Kluyveromyces lactis: one gene and its partners. The protein of the gene in region 1 binds, or shares a complex with, the protein of each later gene. Links are inferred from orthologs where the notes say so. Each region holds a gene or a part of one and is shown on either strand. Other genes may lie near its edges.

Region 1 (4,996 bases):
TAACAATGCGCATAACACTGGTTCTTATCAAAAGAATCATAGTTACAAGAAGCGAAGAAATGTAGATGCACCAAGGCATGGTAGGATGGATCCAAATTTCTACTACGGCCCGCCAGTGTACTACCCAATGGAGTACTGTCCACCTTCTGGTAGCCCCGTTGGCCCTCCGCCCTCTCACTTGATTCAGCCGGGCGCTCACTTGACGGGACAGTGTCCACCTTCTCAACATTCCCCATTCTTTTATTACTTCCCTATGCCACCTCCTACACCGACATTTACTAATCCATTCCCACACGAACACCCTGGCGGTATGAACTATTTGGATAATTCTGTCTCTGGACATGATAAAGCAGACCTCGACTATTGAATATGTCATTTTCTTTCTACTTTTTTTTAGCGTAATCATTGCACTATCTTAGGCCCTCCTAGTGATTAACTCTTTTTCACCTTCTTTTTAGTCAACCACAGGGCATATACTCGGCACCGTCTTATAATATGTTCCCCAGTGGCGTTTCATTTGTACATGTCCTTCTCTTTTAGATAAATAAACTTAAGATATCATCTTAAACTTTACATGCATGGCATATATATATAGATATGTTTTCTGTTCGAGCTTCTCCGGAATTACAAACTGTTATGGTTACAACATGCAAAACAAAAAATATAAAACACAGTGAATTGATTAGTTATGACATAAAGTTATGCAACTCCAAAAATGGCTTATTATATAGTACTTAATTATTATGCATTGACAAAATCCTGTGCGTAGAATCGATTAGAAGAATAACAATGTAAGGGGATAGGGCATTTACCAGTGTTTTACTTCAACGATGTACTTACCTAAGGCCTGAAGCAATCTTTTTATCTCATTTTTAGGAATACCTTCCTTAATCATAATGTACTCCAAAGAAACCTTCCCATTAAAGTATTTCACCACTTGTCTAAATAGCGTTTGAAGATCAGTAGGTAATGCCTCAGCACATTTGTACAACCATCTCTTTTCTAATGCAGTATTACGTTCTGGTTCAAGAATTATAGTGAAATCATTATCGTTGATCATCTCCAAATCATCAAACTCACTGGAGTTATAATTTTCACCTCCAGTAACAAAATTACCGGACTTTTCGTGTTTGTTCGATCTTAAGTTATCCTTTTCTAGATCCTCATCGACAGCTATTTTAATGCGCTTGTCCACACGTACATACACAAACGTCAATAATTGAGTGAGGTATCCGTACCTCATGAGCCATGCCAGGGCATTCAAATACATAGATTTATGTTCATTGGATGGTATGATATGCCCGAAAGGTCTGGGTTTCTGGGTTGACATAAGTTGAAGGAACGATGGCAAAGAAGGTAAGGAGGGAAATTTTTCATTGAATACCTTCTTGTTTTGGTATATCAACGACGGTTCATCGTTGTTATTCACAGGAACTTCTTGTTGTCTTATTAAGGTGTCGTATTCGCCATGTTTGAAGTCATCAGTTGAAAATCCTGAGATTGGCGCCAATGGAGAAACTATATATGTGTTTCTCGATGATATTGGCAGTATCAAACGGGCGTGACGCCAGTATATTAAATGTAGACATAACGACTTTAAAGTAGTTTCACAGAATTGATCATCATATGAGGAATCATTAGAATCGATTAGCTCTTTAATTAATAATTTATATTGACCAAGCCTTATAGTGGGCTTCAACTGTCTTACAAGGTTGATCAAAAGTAAATCAGTAACGCCGTTATCAAAGGAAGCGTTTTCAAGCCCTTTTATAATATTTTCAGGTTCATCGAGCAAAAGCAATCCATAATCTAGAAGCCTGTCGTGGTTGGCATACAAATTATCTGAATCTTCGTTTGTCAAGCTAGTGCTTCTACCAATAAAACTTTCGTTTAGTATTGAGGATAAGAAAGATCCACGAAGAACAGCATCTTCTTTTAAATTTGGAAGAATGGAAAATTCATTTTTGATTGGAATCTGCAAGGAAACAATTTTATCACCATCAATTTCAAGATTAGCAATTTCATTGTTATGGATGCAATTGAAACATTTTGTTAACGCTCTAGCTAGTGACGATTCGTAAAGAATTCTTTCATACATATATTTTCCTTTAGACCAGGGAGATTTTAAAGACTCATAATATCGAGAGTGTTTAGAAACTTCGTCCTTACACTTCATAATTTTCACGCATTCCCTAGTGACATAACCGGTTTTTCCTTGTATGTACCTTAAAATCAATGATAATCTAGTCACCACGTAATGATACATATCATCGACTCTTTCATTATATTCTATGATCTTTGGGTTCATGATGAAGCAGACCTGGAACATGTTTATACTCTGCTGCAAACTTTCGAATTCATCATTTTCCGCATCAGGCACACAGTACATTTCATTAAGCATTTCTGATTTGGATGGTTCATAATCACTATTCTCATCATCTGCAGGTTCTTCAACATCATTAATGTGTCCTTGACTCTCTGTTTTAGATCTGTTTCGACCAATACTATTTCGACCAACACTATTTCTACTAATACTGTTTCGTGCAGTGCTACTTCTAGCCGAACGTTTGGAAGCTTGCTTTCTCTTCTTTGATTTCTTCCATCTTCCTTTGTGATCCGCGTGAATTGGCAACCCTAAGAAACATAAGTCATCCACAGTGAATTCAAATCTGGTGTTACACATCTCCTTTCTTGGAGAACAGAGTTCAGCTACAAATTCTGTATTGAAATTTAGTACTTTTGAGATATCCTGAAATGTATCCTGCTGAAATATTGAACCATCTAGCAAATCGTCTACCAAGATTTTCAACTCTTCATCTACTGCATCCAATTCATCTTCTGGTCTCGGATCAGTCGTACTAGACATATTAGTCGATGTTCTAATCGAGTGCAACGATTCCCTCAACGAGTTTTCGCCATTGATTGCAACATTGTTATTATTCTGATTTAGCACTTGAAAGAGTTTATTCGCACTAATCTGAGATTGACGAGATCGTAGACCATTATTGATAAATGTATTGTTTGTACTGCTGTTTACAGTATCCTCATGATTTGATTGTGGAAGGGAGTCTAACGATGATTCTGATGCATCAGATGAACAATCTGCATAGTCAGTCGACAACTCGCTATCACTCAAACCTGAAGAGTAGTCATCTGAAGACGAATTGTTTTCAGAGTCCGTATACTCGTATCTTTTCTTGATATCTGGGTGATGCGTCTTCTTCGAATTGGTCGCAGTAGCATAGTTGCTTGGTGGATAATGATAAATTAATTGTGGACCCGAATGAGTTGAAACAGTTAATGCGATTTGTACTAAGCAGGAATTCGGTAAATTCGTGGACATTGAGCTATTCCTATCTCTTGGAGCTTCATAGACTGCTGAACTCTTAGATTGAGGGAAAGATTCTTTCGAATTAGCAGTTATACCCCAGTACTTTTGTATATTAGGTGTTTTATCAGTTAATCAAGTAAAATGACTATCGTATTTTCATATTTTTCATGTGTAGATATTTCTATAATAATAAGGGAAACTATATATGACTGGAGAGACAGCACAAGTAGACACTACGAAATCTCCTTTGGTTTGTTAATATCGGGGTGTCGTATATGCTTAAGTTTTTGGAACAGTAAAACTCAAACGTTGCTGAATGTATTTGAGGGCTTTTAATTTGTCGTGTGGTGTATGTTCCTGCAGTTTTAACTTTCAAAATTAGATAAGAACAAACAGAGATTAAAATATTGTCTGCTAAGAAAGTAGGATCGCGTAATCGATACTAGAACATCTCAAAAGGTCCTGATGTTACTACTATTATTCTTGAAAGTTTCATTAAACGTAAAATATAGTGCTATTGAAATCAATTATGTATGAAGGGATTCAGAGCGAGAGAAGAAAACCGGATTCATTATCGAACCATATTGAAGTAAAATTATTTTGAGGTGTCGACAACGTATCTACCAACGATTTCACCCTTGACCATCTTGTCATAAACATCTGCCAATTCAGATAATCCGACTATCTTAATTGGAGCATGCACTAAACCTCTTGCGAAGAAATCTAGAGCTTCTCTGGTGTCAGCTCTGTTACCGACGTAAGAACCAACAATGGAGACCGATTTGACAACTTGTGTAAAGACATCAGACTTACATTTGGCGTCCCTTGGTAGACCGACCAATACAACGGTACCGTTTGATCTAACGTAATTGGTGGATTGTTCTATAGCAAATTCGGAGACAGAGACGTTAATGACACCGTGGGCACCACCGTTAGTAGCGTCAACAATTTCTTTAATCAAATCCTTAGAGACGGCATAATCGACGAAGTATTCACCACCTAGCTCCTTGAACAACTTAGCCTTTTCAGCACCGGTATCAATACCCAAGACTCTGTAACCCATAGCCTTGGCGTATTGGATAGCCAAAGAACCTAGACCACCACAGGCACCGGAAATGGCAACCCAGTCACCGGCCTTCAAGTCAGCAGATTTTAGAGCCTTGTAAACGGTAACACCGGCACATAGAATTGGAGCAACTTCAGCCAAATCGGTACCCTTTGGAATTCTAGCAGCTTGAACGGCATCAGCGGTAGCATATTGTTGGAAAGAACCATCGTGGGTGTAACCAGACAAGTCAGCATCGGGACAGTTGGATTCATTGGACAATTCACAGTATTCACAGGACATACAAGAACCGTTCAACCATTTGATACCAGCAAAGTCACCAATGTTCCAGCCCTTGACATTTTCACCCATAGCAACAACGACACCAGCACCTTCGTGACCACCAACTAATGGCAATTTGGTTGGCAAAGGCCAGTCACCCTTCCATGCGTGCAAATCGGTGTGACAGACACCGGAGTACTTGACGTTGATCAAAAGTTCGTTGGCCTTTGGCTTTGGAACTGGAATGTCCTTGTATTGCAATTCACCACCGTTTTCGTAAAAGATAACACCCTTTTGAGTTTCAGGAATGGACATTTTTTAATTAATATTGATATTCT
Region 2 (4,981 bases), on another chromosome or scaffold:
TGGATTATTTCTAGTGAAGATTGCTGATATTAATGGAAGAAAACCAGGTATTTATGCTGCAATCACTATCTATTCGTTGGGAACATTGATTGGCTGGACATGTGGCTCCTCTTGGTGGTATTTCTTCTTCGCAAGGTTCATTTCAGGACTTGGTGTTGGTGCTACTGCGGTGATGATACCAATGTTTATAGCCGAATCTGCTCCCATCAACATTCGTGGTGCCATGGTTGTGCTCTACCAGTTAATGATCACTCTTGGAATTTTGCTCGGAAATGTCATCAACTATTGTTGCAGATCCACTTTACACGAAACAGATAATGCCACATGGAAGATCCCTGTAGGATTAGGAAACGTCTGGGCCGCTATCGTCGCGCTAGGTGTTCATTTTATGCCTGAATCACCAGTTTTTCTTACCAAGAGGTTAGGAAGCGCTCTCAAAGCTAAGGCAGCTTTTGCCCATATGAACAATTTGGACGTAGATGATCCAATTGTGGATAGTCATATTAGGAAGATGATGGAATCAGCTGACGCGGAGGTATCTACTCACAATGATATGAAGAACAGCAGGTTTGAATTCATACTCGGTCAACCAAGATTAGGTTTTAGACTATTTATTGGTATTATGGTGATGGCGTTTCAACAGCTATCCGGTGCAAATTACTTCTTCTATTATGGTACAACACTTTTCAACTCTGTGGGAATTGAAGACCCATACTTAACGTCGATTTTATTGTCTTCTGTCAACTTCATATCTACCTTTTTCGGTATTTATTTAGTTGAAAAGTTAGGCAGAAAAGCATGCTTAATTCTTGGTTCCGCGGGTATGTTTACCTGTATGTCCGTGTATGCGTCAGTCGGATCGTTCGCACTTAATAAGTCGCCTCAAAACTCTGGTGCGATTATGGTTACCTTCACGTGTGTTTACATCATGTTCTTTGCATGCACATCGGGACCTGTGTCCTTTGTCGTCATTTCGGAGTTGTTTCCAAGCAGGACAAAAGCGATATCCATGGCAGTGTGTACCTCAATCAATTGGCTTTGCAACTTCTTCATTTCTTTATGCACACCATATGTCACTGATAAGATAGGCTTCAAGTTTGGGTTCGTTTTTGCTGGTTGTCTATTTGTCTCATTCTGGTTCTTCACTTTCTTATTGAAGGAAACTAAGAACAAAACTCCTGAACAGGTTGACGCATTGTATTCTATTGACAAGCAATAGGCAATGGACCATACAGGTATACTTCTACAAACAAAGAAATTTACAATGAGCTCAACTGTTCACATAATCTACTGAAGCCTCCCGATTTCTCTGTTCGAGTGTGCGCTTGAATCGCTCTCCTTCATATAATTTCACTGTGTAAAACCTATTAACTTTCTCATTACGTATCATTTTACAAGTGTCTCAATGGCATTAAATTTGTAATTATTTCAGAAGAATTTTAATAACAAGGCATTTCTGTCTCCCAGCCCTGTGATATCTTAATACTTCTATTTACTCTTGTGTTGTTTTATCGGGCTCTCACTTATCAATCACCGAAGATGATTCCTGATTCCTCATATATTTACTCAACAAGAAAAAAAGGAAGAGATGGCAATATGTAATTGAAAATATGAAAGCACTCACATACTATGATTCAAAAATCCAGCAATTGGTTGTAAGCCAAATAAACCGGTGATCGAGAGCACTGAGTATTGTTGCTCAACGATGTTTAAAAGAGGTTCAAACAGAGCTACTTCGTCTTCTCAAGGGCAGCAACCAGAAAATCCTCCCTCTCTGAAATATCAGTCGTCAAGTTCACGATACTCTTTTCATCGACAGTACAACACAGGTTTTGGAACTTCACCTTTTAGGATATCACCTAAGTATAAACCAGATAGCCGCACTCCCTTCAGTTTTGATGGTACGGGAAATGTTGGACCAGAGAGCTCTCTTAATGAAGAAGAATCAAATGCAAGATGGAGACCTTCTGAAAGTTCATTTGACAAACGTAGAACTTTCCACGGCGCTAAATACTCTCTGAGTATCGGAAAGGAAGTCTCAAGTATAGATAAAATCAATTCACCGGAGAGCAGATCCTTGATAATAGCAGGAAAAAGCCATTTAGGTATTTACACTTTCGATGAAGATTCTAAGACGATAACTAATGTACATGATTTCTTACAGACAGCGAAGACAAATACTGGGATCACGAAGAACACTTCATCGACACTACGGAGAACAACAAAAAAAATTTCAACCATATCTGATGTTAAAGCTGGCTTTTACAATCACAAAAACTATGTAGCAATTTGTGGTACTTCAACGTCTGTTGCGATTTACGATATTAATAAGACATCAGCGATAGACAATCCAGTTGTAACATCTCTCTCAGAACATACAAGATCTATCAATAGTGTGGATTTCAATATGGTGCAGACAAGCTTATTAATTAGCGGTGGACAAGATGGATGCATAAAGATTTGGGATTTGAGATCTCCTAAAATCTCCACCACTAGGAGTGATGTAAGTATCAACACCGGGTCTGATTCCATTAGAGACGTAAAATGGATGCCTTCTTACGAGTTTTCTAATGATACCAATGGTCTTTCAAACAGACATTTCAAATTTGCCAGTGTGCATGACTCTGGATTATTATTGAAGTTTGATTTGAGACAACCAAACCAAGCTGAAAAAAAGATTAATGCACATTCTGGTCCCGCCTTATGTTTGAATTGGCATCCGCATCAGGACTACATTATTAGTGGTGGAAGAGACGGAAAATGTTGCTTGTGGTATGTAGGCGACAAATCTAATCAAGTTGGTAACATTAGTAGTACCAACCTCAATTCAAGTAATCCAGCAACGCATAATTTATCATCATCATACCCCTTGGGGCTATCCAACACCCTTGCATTTCCTGAGCTCACAATAAATACCGCTCGTTCCATGAATAAACTTAAGTTTCGTCCAAAATATGAGACGAATGTATTCAATTCATTGATTGGGACTTCATCCATGGGCGAAGATTCGGATGTATCTGTTTATTCGCTAGCAAGAAAATATATTCCTAAAAACGTTATTGCTTCCAGTGCACCTTCTGTTGGTTTTGTCTGGTGGGATGACGACACGATATTCAATATAGACAAGCAAAATACCGTTACTGGGTGGGATATCTCTCATGAACCGACTGTACTTGATAATTTGCCGAAAAACACAATAAAATGGAGAGATTTGGATGGCGATGGTATTCTGTTTTTGGACCAAAAACCAGGTGGGTATTTGTCTCAAGAAGAGACAGTTTTGACACCAGGTAGTGGAGAGAATCGCAAGATGCCTTTCACACACAGAATGAGTAGTGCAACTGCTAACAGTTTTACTGGAGGAAATAATCCTAACATTACAAGCAACACAAGTAGCAGTGCCGCAAGTTTCTCAAAAAACCCGACACTTGGCATGTCTCAACTTCACCAGGGCAACGTATTAGGTGAAAGGTCAACTATGTCAAAGCATGCACAATCCGTTAACAGCAAATTTTCGCCTTCGGTTAACAGCTCGCCGTGGACCAATCCGTATTCGTCCCCTCATCATAACTCAATCGTGTCAGGATCGGAATCGGCATTACATGCGGTTAATGATTCCTTTCTACAATCTCCATATTTGATAGGATTAGACTTTCCGCATATTTTGAACACAATACGGAACACTAGGCTCGCAGAATTTAACAGAAAGGTCGAAAGTGCAGCTTTATTAGAATTAAAGTCATCTCCAACTGAAGTTTTCAAGTTTTTAGCACGGGAATTGAAGTTTTCGTATAAATATAACAGTATTGAAACAAAAGACAACGGCCGAGAGCTTGATTCATCGAGCACACATGGCTCAGTGGATTCTAAAACGAATTTGATGGAAAAGTTGGGGTTATCTGAAAATAATACTTGGACTCATTTGATCAAATATACGAAATCTCACGACTCTGACGAAGTCATATCGAAAGGCACAGAGCTTAAAACACCAGTTTCTGACAAAAGTGCTAATATCGAAAAATCAGCTACGAATCATAAAGCTGAAACCAATCAGGATGAGAACAGTTCCTGCATCAACTCTTCAAACCAGGTAAAAACCAAAAACCTCATCGAACTGATAACTCTATGTGATAAGAACGCTGAAATTTATATCATGCTTGAGGACTTTTCAAACTACAAAATTTGGCTTCTAATGCGGGATTCATTATTATGGGACTTGAAAGTCCTAACCGAGTCAATGGCTGTTGACGTGACAGCTGACCAAGAAGTCAACGATCAATCGTCCATTGACCAACCTTGGAAAAAAAATGACAGTTTTACTAGCTTGAAAGAGGCAAGGCAAGCATCTGTTGCTAGTGGCTACAGTTCATATAGTGCTACGGATCTGAGCTCCTCGGTAAATACAAATAATAGACATTCTTTCAACGAACCCACTCATCTAACCCAAACTCCTCCAGTATCACATTTAAAGGCTCAACTTCAAGGTTCAAAAGAAACTACGACTATATCGAGGGCTGACTCGATTCAAAATTCGTTACAGAACGATATCATCGAAATTAGAAAGCTGCGTCAATCTCATGGAGATAGAGCAGAACTAGCAATTGATGAAGAGGAAGAAGGAGAAGAAAGAGAGGAACTTACAAAAAGGGCGTTCGAAGAAGATGAAAACAATAAACAATTCATTAATATCCCAAGAAGGGAATCAGGGCCTAGCGCTCTCATGCCGAGTCCTTCTCATGTTTCCTCACAAAGCGAAATTCCTTCAAATCCGGAAAACCATCACCAGCCACGTCGGCCGCGGACATCTTTTATAGACTCCTTCATGTCACAATTACGTTCTCCAGGATCGTCAAATGTTGATGCTGATAGGGAAAGTACTGGTAGCAAAAAATCTTCCATGCCAAGCTTTAGCTCTTCGGCTGCCACATTTTTGAATAGCAAGAAATCGCAAAACGCGAATCATAATAAATTGAAAAGCGCA
Region 3 (5,145 bases), about 150 kb from region 1:
GCATACGAACACCAATCTACCGGCTTTGAGGCCACAGTAGCTACAGTTTTGTTGAGTGTGTCCGTGGTTAGATTCAATCCACCTATTCGATACACCTTTGTAAATATCCAATCCCGAATCTTGTTCGATCCCATGCAAGTATTCAGGTTCTGTGTTTAAATTTACATTAAACTTCAACAACTCGGCCCTATCCATAGGCAACCCCCATATATAAAGTATCTCTGCATATTGCGTTCTATATTGTCTGAACTTGGTTTCACATTTCGGATCTACCAACGAAGGTTCCAGACCTTGGTAGGCAAGATCCAAAACATCGTCATGAATTAGTTTGATCTTGATATCGGGAATTGTCGCTTCAGTTTCTACATACCCATTGTTCATATTATTATGGGATTTCCCGTTCTTGTTTCCGTTAGCATGATGATTTTGATGGAAATAATCATCAGATATGATAGAAGAGCCATCGTTCAATGAGGCTTGATTGGTGCCATATCTCATTCTCGCATTTTGTGTACCTGTGTCATTAGAGTAGAACGATCCGTGAGTGGAATGAACATGTGGCGATGGCTCGTATTCATTGTTATAAAATGTAATGATGTTTTCTGATAAAGTAGGCGGAACTAGTTTATAATTTGTTTTCTGATCTGGCCTTCCAAGCGTAGCAAAGATGCAGCTCATCATTGCAAGCATTTGAAGATTTTGGCACTTCTCAAAATACTCGAATAGTCTTTTCACTAAAAGTTTACCACCCAATGAATGCTGGTCCCAATCATAATTGTAGAAATCGTTATCTCCTCTTCCTATTAAAACATTAGAAATCATTCTCCAGCATTGCGCGATATCTTCATAGCCGTAACTTTCCGCAATGCCTGCATTGTACTTCGCAACAAATTCAGGAGTTTCCCGAAATAAAATATACTGTTCAGCTAGCTCTTTTTTGTCGGGAATCAAACTTTTAAAATCTTGAACGACTATAGATGACTTGCTTTTTTTATTTGAATCGGTGGTTTTTCCGGATACACTCGTAGTAGATTTCGTCTCATCACGGAATATGCGTGGCATCATTGGCATCCTAGTCCTTAGTGTGAGATCATTTTTCAATATATCATCCAAGAACTCAGCATAGCTATCATCACTATCATCTGAATCCGAATCTGATGATTGATTTAGTGATTCACTGGCATGTTGTGAGTTTATGGATAGCGCTTCTCTATAAGTTTTTGGCTTTCTTTGTTTTCCCGATACGTTATCCTTCAAAGTTTGTGACGCACTCTGGACATTTTTTGATCTCACAAAACCTCCAATACCAGTTCTACCAACATTGATTATGGCGTGTTGCTTTTTTTCAGTTTTATTCTCAGCTCTAAAGAAGCAAACAAGGGTTCCTTGAGCGGTCCAAACTGCTCCACAACCGTTGGGGACAGGTGTGCTATCAAATTTTGGTTCTGGTGTACTAGAATACAATTGCAAAGAACCATCCCCGACAGCGAATTCAACATCTGATACAGAAGAAATCTCTGTAGGAGCATCGCTATGATCATCAGATGAACCCAAAGATGATCTATCTAAAGAAGTTACATCTTCGAAATCAAAGCTGAAAATTTTATTGTCGTCCTCCATGTCGGAAATATCCAAGTTAACTTCTTCTCCAAGTAGGTACTGTAAACACGGCTCAAGGCAATATCGATTTGCATCGACATATTTTTTGCTGATTTCTCTTAGTCGTTCCATTATCTGAGTTTTTTGATGTTCTTTTAATTCCCTGTTCTCTTCAATCTTGAACGCAGGTTCATTTCCTTTCATGGGGTAGTTTGGCGGGAAGTTAATAATAATACGCATGAAAATGTATTTTTCTGGATCTTCTTCCACCCATGGACCATTTAAAGTAATAATTAACTCTCCTGTCGAAACCGAAATTTTTTCAAAAACAATTCTAGGGAACTTGTGCCCAACGGAAGTGACTTCTTCTCCAAGATTGTTTAAACTCACCTCTTCAAATAGATCATGCGGTGAATCTTCGTTATGCATTCTCACACCCGAAATCCATTGTAGTTGATCTATATTGTTGTCAGCTTTCCATTGGCGTAGTCCGGATTTTGTAACAAAGGTTTCCTTCGGAATTTCTATATTTGTGTACCGGGGATCTACTATATTATTTTCAGGTTCTGATCTAAAAGTGTCGTAATCATAATCTGGTAGCTTCTCCGGCAGCTCTTTGCCACATTCGTAGTGAACTTTGTCGTAAACCATATCGGGTACTGGCCATAGTCTTAAATCGCAATCTTTGGACCAAGTAACCAATTGGAATTCTCTGTCATCAATGATGGTATTTTGACTGTGCCTCGATCTCCATAAGAAGTCCGTGACTCTATCTGTATGCCCCTTGAAAACGTACGTTGGCTGTAGTTTGGTAGTCCTTGACTCAGAATTGCCTGAGTCATGAAAAGAGTTCGCCAAATATACAGAATTATTTCCTCCTATCATCGGCATGATGCAATATCCGTCCCCAAACGGGAGATATCGTCCTCTCCACACAGGAAACTCTGTGGTAATTGTCATCTGTAGTTCATCTTCAACTTTATTATAATCCCAGAACTTTACCGTTCCGTCATTCCCACTTGACATGATTTCGGTTTCGTTGAATGGATTGAAGTCGATGCTATTAACGCTTCCGCTATGACCTTCTAATACAGATAACGGAGATGTACCCTTTCTTACATCCCAAACATACACGATATTCGAGTGCGAGGTTGCTAATACATTGGAATTTTTGTGATTCCATTTGACTTGTGCAGCACCAGATCTCCAGTTACTGGTTCTAAAATAAGGCTTCTTGGGGCTTCTCATATCCCAAGCCAGGGCGTAAGTATCAATTGAACTAGTAGCTAGGATTTCTGGTTGCAACGGGTGGAAATTTATATCTGTAATGGCTCTGAAATGGCCATGTAATACATGCTCCACTGCTTTAGAAGAGCTTCTAGATAGATTCCATACAATTGCTTTTTGATTCGACGTAGATATAACCCAGTGATGCTTGGCCGGATGCGGGCACCACTGCACGTCAGCAACCTCCCAAGACGTGAGATGGTGTAACCATCGAGGCTCTGAGAAAGGATCATCCAAGTCTACCACATAAAGGCCCTTTCGACTGGCTAATACGACATCTCTACCAGATGGATTGATAGAAACAGCATTAAATCCACCATCAACCCGAAGAGAAAGTGATTTCCCGAAGGTTGGTGATGAGTAAGGACCTTCCCCTACGTATTCAGACATTCAATCTCAAAGTGTGGCTTATATCGAAACCTCTAAAAAACACGAACCTTACTAGAATTCAATATACGAATGATGTTTCCTATTGAATTGTGCTTTGTTTCATTATATATTCATGATTCATTTTTTCCTATCAACAGTTAATAATGCTTTAAGGAATATTAACAAATAGTGGATTAGACATACATAAAAAGGGGAGTTAGAAAGCTATTATTAATCATTCGTGACGTTATTTGAAGTTTAAATGTATCTAATGTTTTATCTATTCTTGGGTAACTGCATCAAAGATAGCTTTAAATGGTGGTTTTGCACCTGTCCATTTAGAAAATTGTTCCACACCTTGATGAACCAACATTTCAGCGCCCGGAACGATATTCCAGTTGAACTTATCACGTGCGAGCTTCATGATAGGGGTCACTGAAGGCTTATATGCGGCATCTAACAAGGTTGGTTTGAAGGAGCTATTTGTACCTTTTGCCAAAAGTCTTTCCAATTTGTTTAGTAACTCTGGATCTAAAGGCTTATCAGCTGGAACACAAGAAACAGCAACAGAAACTTGTTCCTTAATTGACTCTGTTTGTTCGGCAGATTCGACGACAACAATCTTATATTCTTCGGAAAATTCGGATTTCAGCTTTTGTAGTTTCTCCGTGGTTCTGTTGAGCATATAAATGGTGTCACAACCAATTTGTTTCAAAGCGTATATAGCAGCTCTTGAAGTACCACCAGCACCGATAATCAGACCTGCAGAACCACTAACAGAACTAGGAACACCATTTGAAACCAAAGAGTTTTTGATACCTAACCAATCAGTATTGTCACCCCTGAATTTGTTCTTTCCTAAAGGAATAACAGTGTTTACAGCGCCAATGGTCTTTGCGGCTTCGCTCAATTCAAACATACTATCAATAATATCTAGTTTTAATGGGATGGTTACAGCTAAGCCACCGAGATCTTCTCTGGTCAAAAGTTCTTTCTTAACTACTTCGATATCTTCAGTTTCGAATTTATCAAAATGATGAGGTAAGCCTAGTAGCTCATACCCAGTGTTGTGCAAGATCGGAGATCTGGAATGTCCAATTGGAGAACCAATAACAAAGAACTTCTTGGCTGGTAATCCACCGATTTGGTGATACAATTGGTTGATTTCAGCTAGTGTCAATTGACCAGGGGCAGCGGCGGATGGTAGTAACTTGGAGGTAACAGGTGTCAAAATATTATTTAGCACCCTGGATAGCTTACCTGTTTCAGTCATATTGATAGCAATTAGTGGCTTCAAAGTATGAGTGGACCTGAATTTTTCCAAAGCCAAATTGTCATCGAAGCTTACTGCTGTGCCAACGAACTTCACAATGTCCACGTCTAAAGAAAGAGCTTGGTTATATCTATTTTCCCATTCAGCATCATCCCATGGGAATTTAGCTGCAAAATCATGATGGGAGCCAATAATCTTTGTGTTTGATTTCTTGTTCAAAACATTGTAGAGTATGTTGTTAGGCAATGTCAACTCTAAATCGATGTATTCAACAGCGTTCTTCAGAGCGACCTTCAACAATGATTCAAGTAAATCATAATCATCATCTTGGAATTTCCCTCCTTGGCTAACTGTTCTCACAGTGAAAACAATAGGTAGCGATTTGGTTGCAGCTCTTAACAAGGAGATTTGTTTGGTGACAAAGTCTGAAGAAAAGGATGATAAATGATCAACTCTTAGTTCTACTGCTTCACAACCATAGGTTATTTCATCCAATTTTGACAAATGATCCGATAGGTCTTCGAAAGTCAAACAGACGAAAGCTGATCTCCTGGAAGGTACAGGAATCTTTTCAGCGCCAAGTACACGACGAATGAAGTTGCTGAACACATGTCTTA
Region 4 (4,858 bases), on another chromosome or scaffold:
TACATCAGGAATGCTATGGTGTAGTTTTCATTCCAGAAGGTCAGTGGCTTTGCCGAAGATGCATGATATCCAAAAATAGAAAGCTCGAGTGTCTCTTTTGTCCCAGTACCACTGGAGCTTTCAAACAAACGGATAACGGATCGTGGGGCCATGTGTTATGTGGAATTTGGATACCAGAGCTTTATTTCGGAAATCTACACTATATGGAGCCGATTGGAGGAATAGAGAATATCCCGAAAAGTCGATGGAAGCTCACATGTTATATTTGCAAACAAGAGGTCGGTGCTTGCATCCAATGCTCGAATAAGAACTGTTTTGCAGCGTATCACACTACGTGCGCTAAAAGAGCTGGATTATACATGAACTTCAATGGATGTACAGTTCAAGAGGCTGCCTCAAAAAACTTTTCCACAGGTGCTTTCCTGGAAAGTTTTTGTCACAAACATTCTCCTAACGGCTGGAGTAGCTGTGAAGACGGAATTCGTAAAACTAGGGATTATTTTAATCACATTAATCATCACAAGGTGCTACAAGACAGTGCCGTGGAAGAAAACAAGCAATCTGCCAAGAAAACCATTAAGAATAAATGGAAAACCAGTAGGGGAACTTTAATTGCACCTCAAGCCTTCGCAGATATTACAATGAGAGTTTTAAACAGATTTCATGTTCCAAATTCCGAGCAAATTTCGTTGGATATATGCAAGTACTGGACAATGAAAAGAGAACTCAAAAGAGGCGCTCCTTTGGTAAGAAAGTTCAGCCCATCTTCTTTGAATACTCTAGATACCGAAGAGCTAAATGACAGAATCGTATTCTCAGAAGTTCTTTTGAGAGACCTCAATTCATTGGAAGGTCTTGCATCATCTTTGGTGGCTAAACAAGAATGTAATGTTGAAAGGGTAAGAAACCAAAGGATCATAAACGACATTGCGTTCCATCCGATAAGGTATATATTGAAGGATGTTGTGTGGAACAATCTCACAAAGACTTTATCTTTTAAATCTTTTGCAGACCTCGAATCATCTTCAAATTTCAAGGTCATACCTTACATTAGCTCCAGGCTTGAAAATGATGAATACTTATCTGTCCAAGAATTCAAGGATGAATTTGTTGGAAATATAGTGAAAATAACATCCAATGAGAGGTCACCGAGATCACTGGTAATAATGGGATCTAAGCTCATCAACGATCTTAACAAACTTTTATCTAAGATTGATGAGTTAGATGTACATACTTTATTACATGACGATTTCGATATAGATGAGAGAACACATCAAGTAGAAGAGGTTAATTGGAAGGGCCGGAAAATACTTGCACGCGAAGGACTAGCTGATGTTGAAGATTTATCGATCAAACAGGAAAGACAATTGAAAGGACTACTACGTGACTGAATTATCCATCAAGTTTTCGTTCACTCAGTACTTAACTCTCCTGTTCCTATGTACATATATCCGGGTAATAAAACTATATACGGTAAATTATTTCAAGATAACTTCAGAATGAGTGATAAGATGCATCAAATAATATTACGGTATTCAATGTAGTAAAGCATCTGTCGAGGCCAATCCACCAGTATTACTTCATGGGCTTGATTAAACGCGTTCCTTGTTGGCCAAATGTGGAAGGGTTGGATTTTTTGTCTGTTAATCCTACAAGAGATGAAGTTTCTCATTACCGAGTGAAGCTGGATGTGGAGACAGACGAGTCCATCGTTAAGGTGAATACAGTAAAGGACTTTGGAAATATAACATGTCTAGATTACTCTAATACAGATGAAGGTATAGTAGGTGTCGGTGAGAAAAGCGGTGTTGTACGGTTATTTAATATTTTGGATACGGACGATGCATACGAGCCGTTCGATCTACGAGTACGAGCAAAGCACCAGCGAACTATCAACAGTTTGAGTATAAATACAAATGGCCTAATAGCCATGGGTTTAGATCGCAATAAGCATGATGCCTCTGTACAGGTGTGGGATGTAAACTACCAAAGCACGGAATCAAATGTTATCACACCATCTTTTTCATATTGTTTGAACGAAAGTATCGTGTCATTGAAATTTGTCGACGATACCAGCATCTTAGCTGCAAGTTCAAAACTCTTGAAAGAAATTGACCTTAGAGCTCCTAATCCTATATACCAGCATCCAACTCGTGTCTCATATGACATCAAGATAAATCCTTTTAACCCTTGGCAATTCTCAACATATGCTGACGATGGTACGTTGGCCTTTTGGGATAGAAGAAAGCTAGCAAGTAACTCTGAAGACACTGAGTTTTTGGAGGCACAACCATTACTTAAATTTGACAAACTTGTTGGTCATGGTGCAGCTTCTAGAAAATATATGAATTCATGTTTCAGATGGTCTCCATTGAGAAGTGGAGAGTTTTCGACATTACACGCAGGCACTACAATTAAACGCTGGAGATTGGCCAACGTACCAGATTTAGAGTCGAATAACGAACTAAATGATTCCTTGTTCGTTTCCACGGTGAATGACATTAAAACGACTTTTGATCGTGTTGTTACCTTCGATTATATACCCAAGAGTACTGGCAGAACAAGTCTTCTATGCATGAGACAATCCGGAACTATCTATCGGATGAATGTCGAACAAGGATTTTCACAATCGAAAATCAATAACTACAATAGCATAATGTCTATCTCAGATCAAAACAATGATGTCAACGAATTGAGAATAACAGGTGAGGATGAAGTTTCATTGCTGGAAAATTTAGATACCGGGCTAAAAAACTTGTCTTTCGAAGACCTGGATACAGGAGATGACTTGAAGATATTAACTCTGGATGAAAAAAAATCATCCGGAAGTATGGAAGATGACGGCGATTACTTGAGTGATTCTGAAGACGTTAAAGAGTTTTACATCGAGGCAGAGAAGCTGTTACAGAATGATATAAGTTTTATAATGCGTAAACGCGCGAGTCTGGGATATGGTCTTGATCCAATGAAAACTGTCGAAATGATGGATAAATCCGATAACTTCAATAACAATATCTACATTCGCAATACTTGGAGATGGATGGCGATAGCGAAGGCATCCATAGCTGACGGAACAATGGTTTCAGGAGACTTAGATTTAGGCTACGAAGGCGTTTTAGGGATATGGAATGGTCTTGAAGGTCTCTCCAATCAGAATCGTTATAGATCTGGAGGAATGCTCACAGAAAAGCAGTTAAACAAGGAATTGGAGAAGATCATTAAGATGAGAAGCAAGAGTAAAAACAAAATTGGGAATGTTTCCAGTTTAAATTCCGAAATGTCATCAAAAAAGGCCATTCAGAGAAGACTCTGTATGATTATTAGTGGCTGGGATTTGTCTCCTTCAGATTACGAAGAAAAATATAAATCACTAATAGCTCAAAATCACTATGAGAAAGCTGCTGCCTGGGCTGTCTTCTTCGGTGACGTTCAGAAAGCTATATCTATTTTGGGATCTGCAAATAAAGAACGTCTTAGACTCATTGCTGCGGCCATTGCAGGTTATCAAGCTTATAGTGAAAAGCCAGGTGACAATGCATGGAGACAGCAATGTAGAAAAATGGCTGCTGAGCTTGATGATCCCTATTTGAGAGTCATTTTTGCATTCATTGCAGACAATGATTGGTGGGATATCCTGTATGAGAGCGCTATCTCTCTAAGGGAAAGGCTTGGTGTTGCTCTTAGATTTCTAAATGACACAGATCTAACCAGATTTTTAGAAAAAACTGCTACTACTGTTATTGAAAATGGTGAACTAGAAGGATTGATCTTGACTGGTATAACGCCTAATGGTATTGATCTTCTACAATCGTACGTTGGAAAGACTAGTGATATTCAAACTGCTGCACTAATTTCAGTTTTCGGCTCCCCAAGATACTTCATGGACCCAAGAGTTGATGAATGGGTTGAAACATATCGCCATATGTTAAATTCCTGGGAATTTTTCACTATGAGGGCCAAGTTCGATGTGCTCAAGACAAAATTATCTAGGACTAGTGATGGTCGAATTACAGCGAAGTTAAAACCTCGTCAAATGTATTTACAATGTTCCAAATGTAAGAAGAATATCAACAGACCCATTGATGTGTCTTCTAATGCATCCCTACCAAGACATGCTAATCAAAACTTAAATGCAGGAAAGAAATTCGGCCTCAATAATACAAACGGTGATGTCCCCCAACAGAAACATTCATGTCCACATTGTGGCACGCCTTTCCCAAGATGTGCTATTTGTCTCTTGCCATTGGGTACTTCAAATCTCCCCATAGTCATCAATGGCACCACCAACTCATGTGAAGTACGAATCGATGACGACGCGAAAATTAACGAGGTCAAGGAAAGAAAGCGTTTGAAAATGAACGAATGGTTCAGTTTCTGTCTCAAGTGTAATCATGGTATGCATGCCGGTCATGCAGAGGAATGGTTTGAAAGACATTCAATTTGTCCTGTTCCTGGGTGTTCGTGTTTATGCCATCAATGAAACACTCTACCAATATTTCGGACCTAAACGCTCTAGGATAAATCATTAAACTTGTTATTCAGCGTATATAATCTCTTTAATCCTTAACCTCGCCAAAAACTCATTTCTCCCACTATTAGTACATACAAATATCTCATATGCAGATATCAAGCGGCTGAACGTTGCTTTCAGAATGAATCATTACGCATCCACAAAATAATGATACTAGCAACGCAGTACCATACTTGGAAAACTTCCCCGAGCATATTCATCGAGTTATAGGATGGACCGTGGTTCAGCGATGGAACTTAAAGCCATCTTTTCCATCATTGCCCACCGTCATTCGCATGAGCGCAAGCCTCTTCACGTGACTAGTTAAGATTCCCCGATCAGTTGAAA

What was found. Proteins that work in one complex are often made in the same cells at the same time.
Region 2: NPR3 (region 1) and RTC1 share a complex: the UniProt entries of both Saccharomyces cerevisiae proteins name them as parts of the SEA complex. The link is inferred for Kluyveromyces lactis from reciprocal best matches to the Saccharomyces cerevisiae genes NPR3 and RTC1.
Region 3: the proteins of NPR3 (region 1) and MTC5 are in contact, whole or in part, in a cryo-EM structure (PDB 8ADL), measured with the Saccharomyces cerevisiae proteins. The link is inferred for Kluyveromyces lactis from reciprocal best matches to the Saccharomyces cerevisiae genes NPR3 and MTC5. Residues at the interface, in NP_011840.1 of Saccharomyces cerevisiae: Gln1067, Tyr1070, Thr1071, Ile1072, Ile1073, Leu1074, Glu1075, Glu1077, Arg1078, Ala1079, Thr1080, Ala1081, Glu1083, Lys1084, Arg1085, Tyr1088; in NP_010413.3 of Saccharomyces cerevisiae: Leu386, Asn389, Phe390, Val391, Thr392, Ser394, Gly395, Leu396, Val445, Glu447, Thr459, Asn461, Phe474, Arg476, Glu497, Glu498, Asn499, Ser500, Asn501.
Region 4: NPR3 (region 1) and SEA4 share a complex: the UniProt entries of both Saccharomyces cerevisiae proteins name them as parts of the SEA complex. The link is inferred for Kluyveromyces lactis from reciprocal best matches to the Saccharomyces cerevisiae genes NPR3 and SEA4.

The regions. Positions count from the first base shown.
Region 1 is NC_006042.1:1,679,491-1,684,486, forward strand, and holds NPR3 (Npr3p), read right to left. Parts: upstream 3,344-4,996; coding exon 809-3,343; downstream 1-808. Other genes in the region: KLLA0_F18216g (uncharacterized protein), read left to right, coding at 1-367; KLLA0_F18260g (zinc-dependent alcohol dehydrogenase), read right to left, coding at 3,927-4,973. UniProt on the Saccharomyces cerevisiae protein: Component of the SEA complex which coats the vacuolar membrane and is involved in intracellular trafficking, autophagy, response to nitrogen starvation, and amino acid biogenesis. Mediates inactivation of the TORC1 complex in response to amino acid starvation.
Region 2 is NC_006041.1:1,870,522-1,875,502, forward strand, and holds the start of RTC1 (Rtc1p), read left to right. Parts: upstream 1-1,705; coding exon 1,706-4,981. Other genes in the region: KLLA0_E20945g (sugar porter family MFS transporter), read left to right, coding at 1-1,219. UniProt on the Saccharomyces cerevisiae protein: Component of the SEA complex which coats the vacuolar membrane and is involved in intracellular trafficking, autophagy, response to nitrogen starvation, and amino acid biogenesis. May be involved in a process influencing telomere capping.
Region 3 is NC_006042.1:1,824,959-1,830,103, reverse strand, and holds the start of MTC5 (Mtc5p), read right to left. Parts: upstream 3,277-5,145; coding exon 1-3,276. Other genes in the region: ARO1 (pentafunctional protein ARO1p), read right to left, coding at 3,536-5,145. UniProt on the Saccharomyces cerevisiae protein: Component of the SEA complex which coats the vacuolar membrane and is involved in intracellular trafficking, autophagy, response to nitrogen starvation, and amino acid biogenesis. May be involved in telomere capping.
Region 4 is NC_006041.1:581,557-586,414, reverse strand, and holds SEA4 (Sea4p), read left to right. Parts: upstream 1-1,582; coding exon 1,583-4,480; downstream 4,481-4,858. Other genes in the region: NTO1 (Nto1p), read left to right, coding at 1-1,391. UniProt on the Saccharomyces cerevisiae protein: Component of the SEA complex which coats the vacuolar membrane and is involved in intracellular trafficking, autophagy, response to nitrogen starvation, and amino acid biogenesis.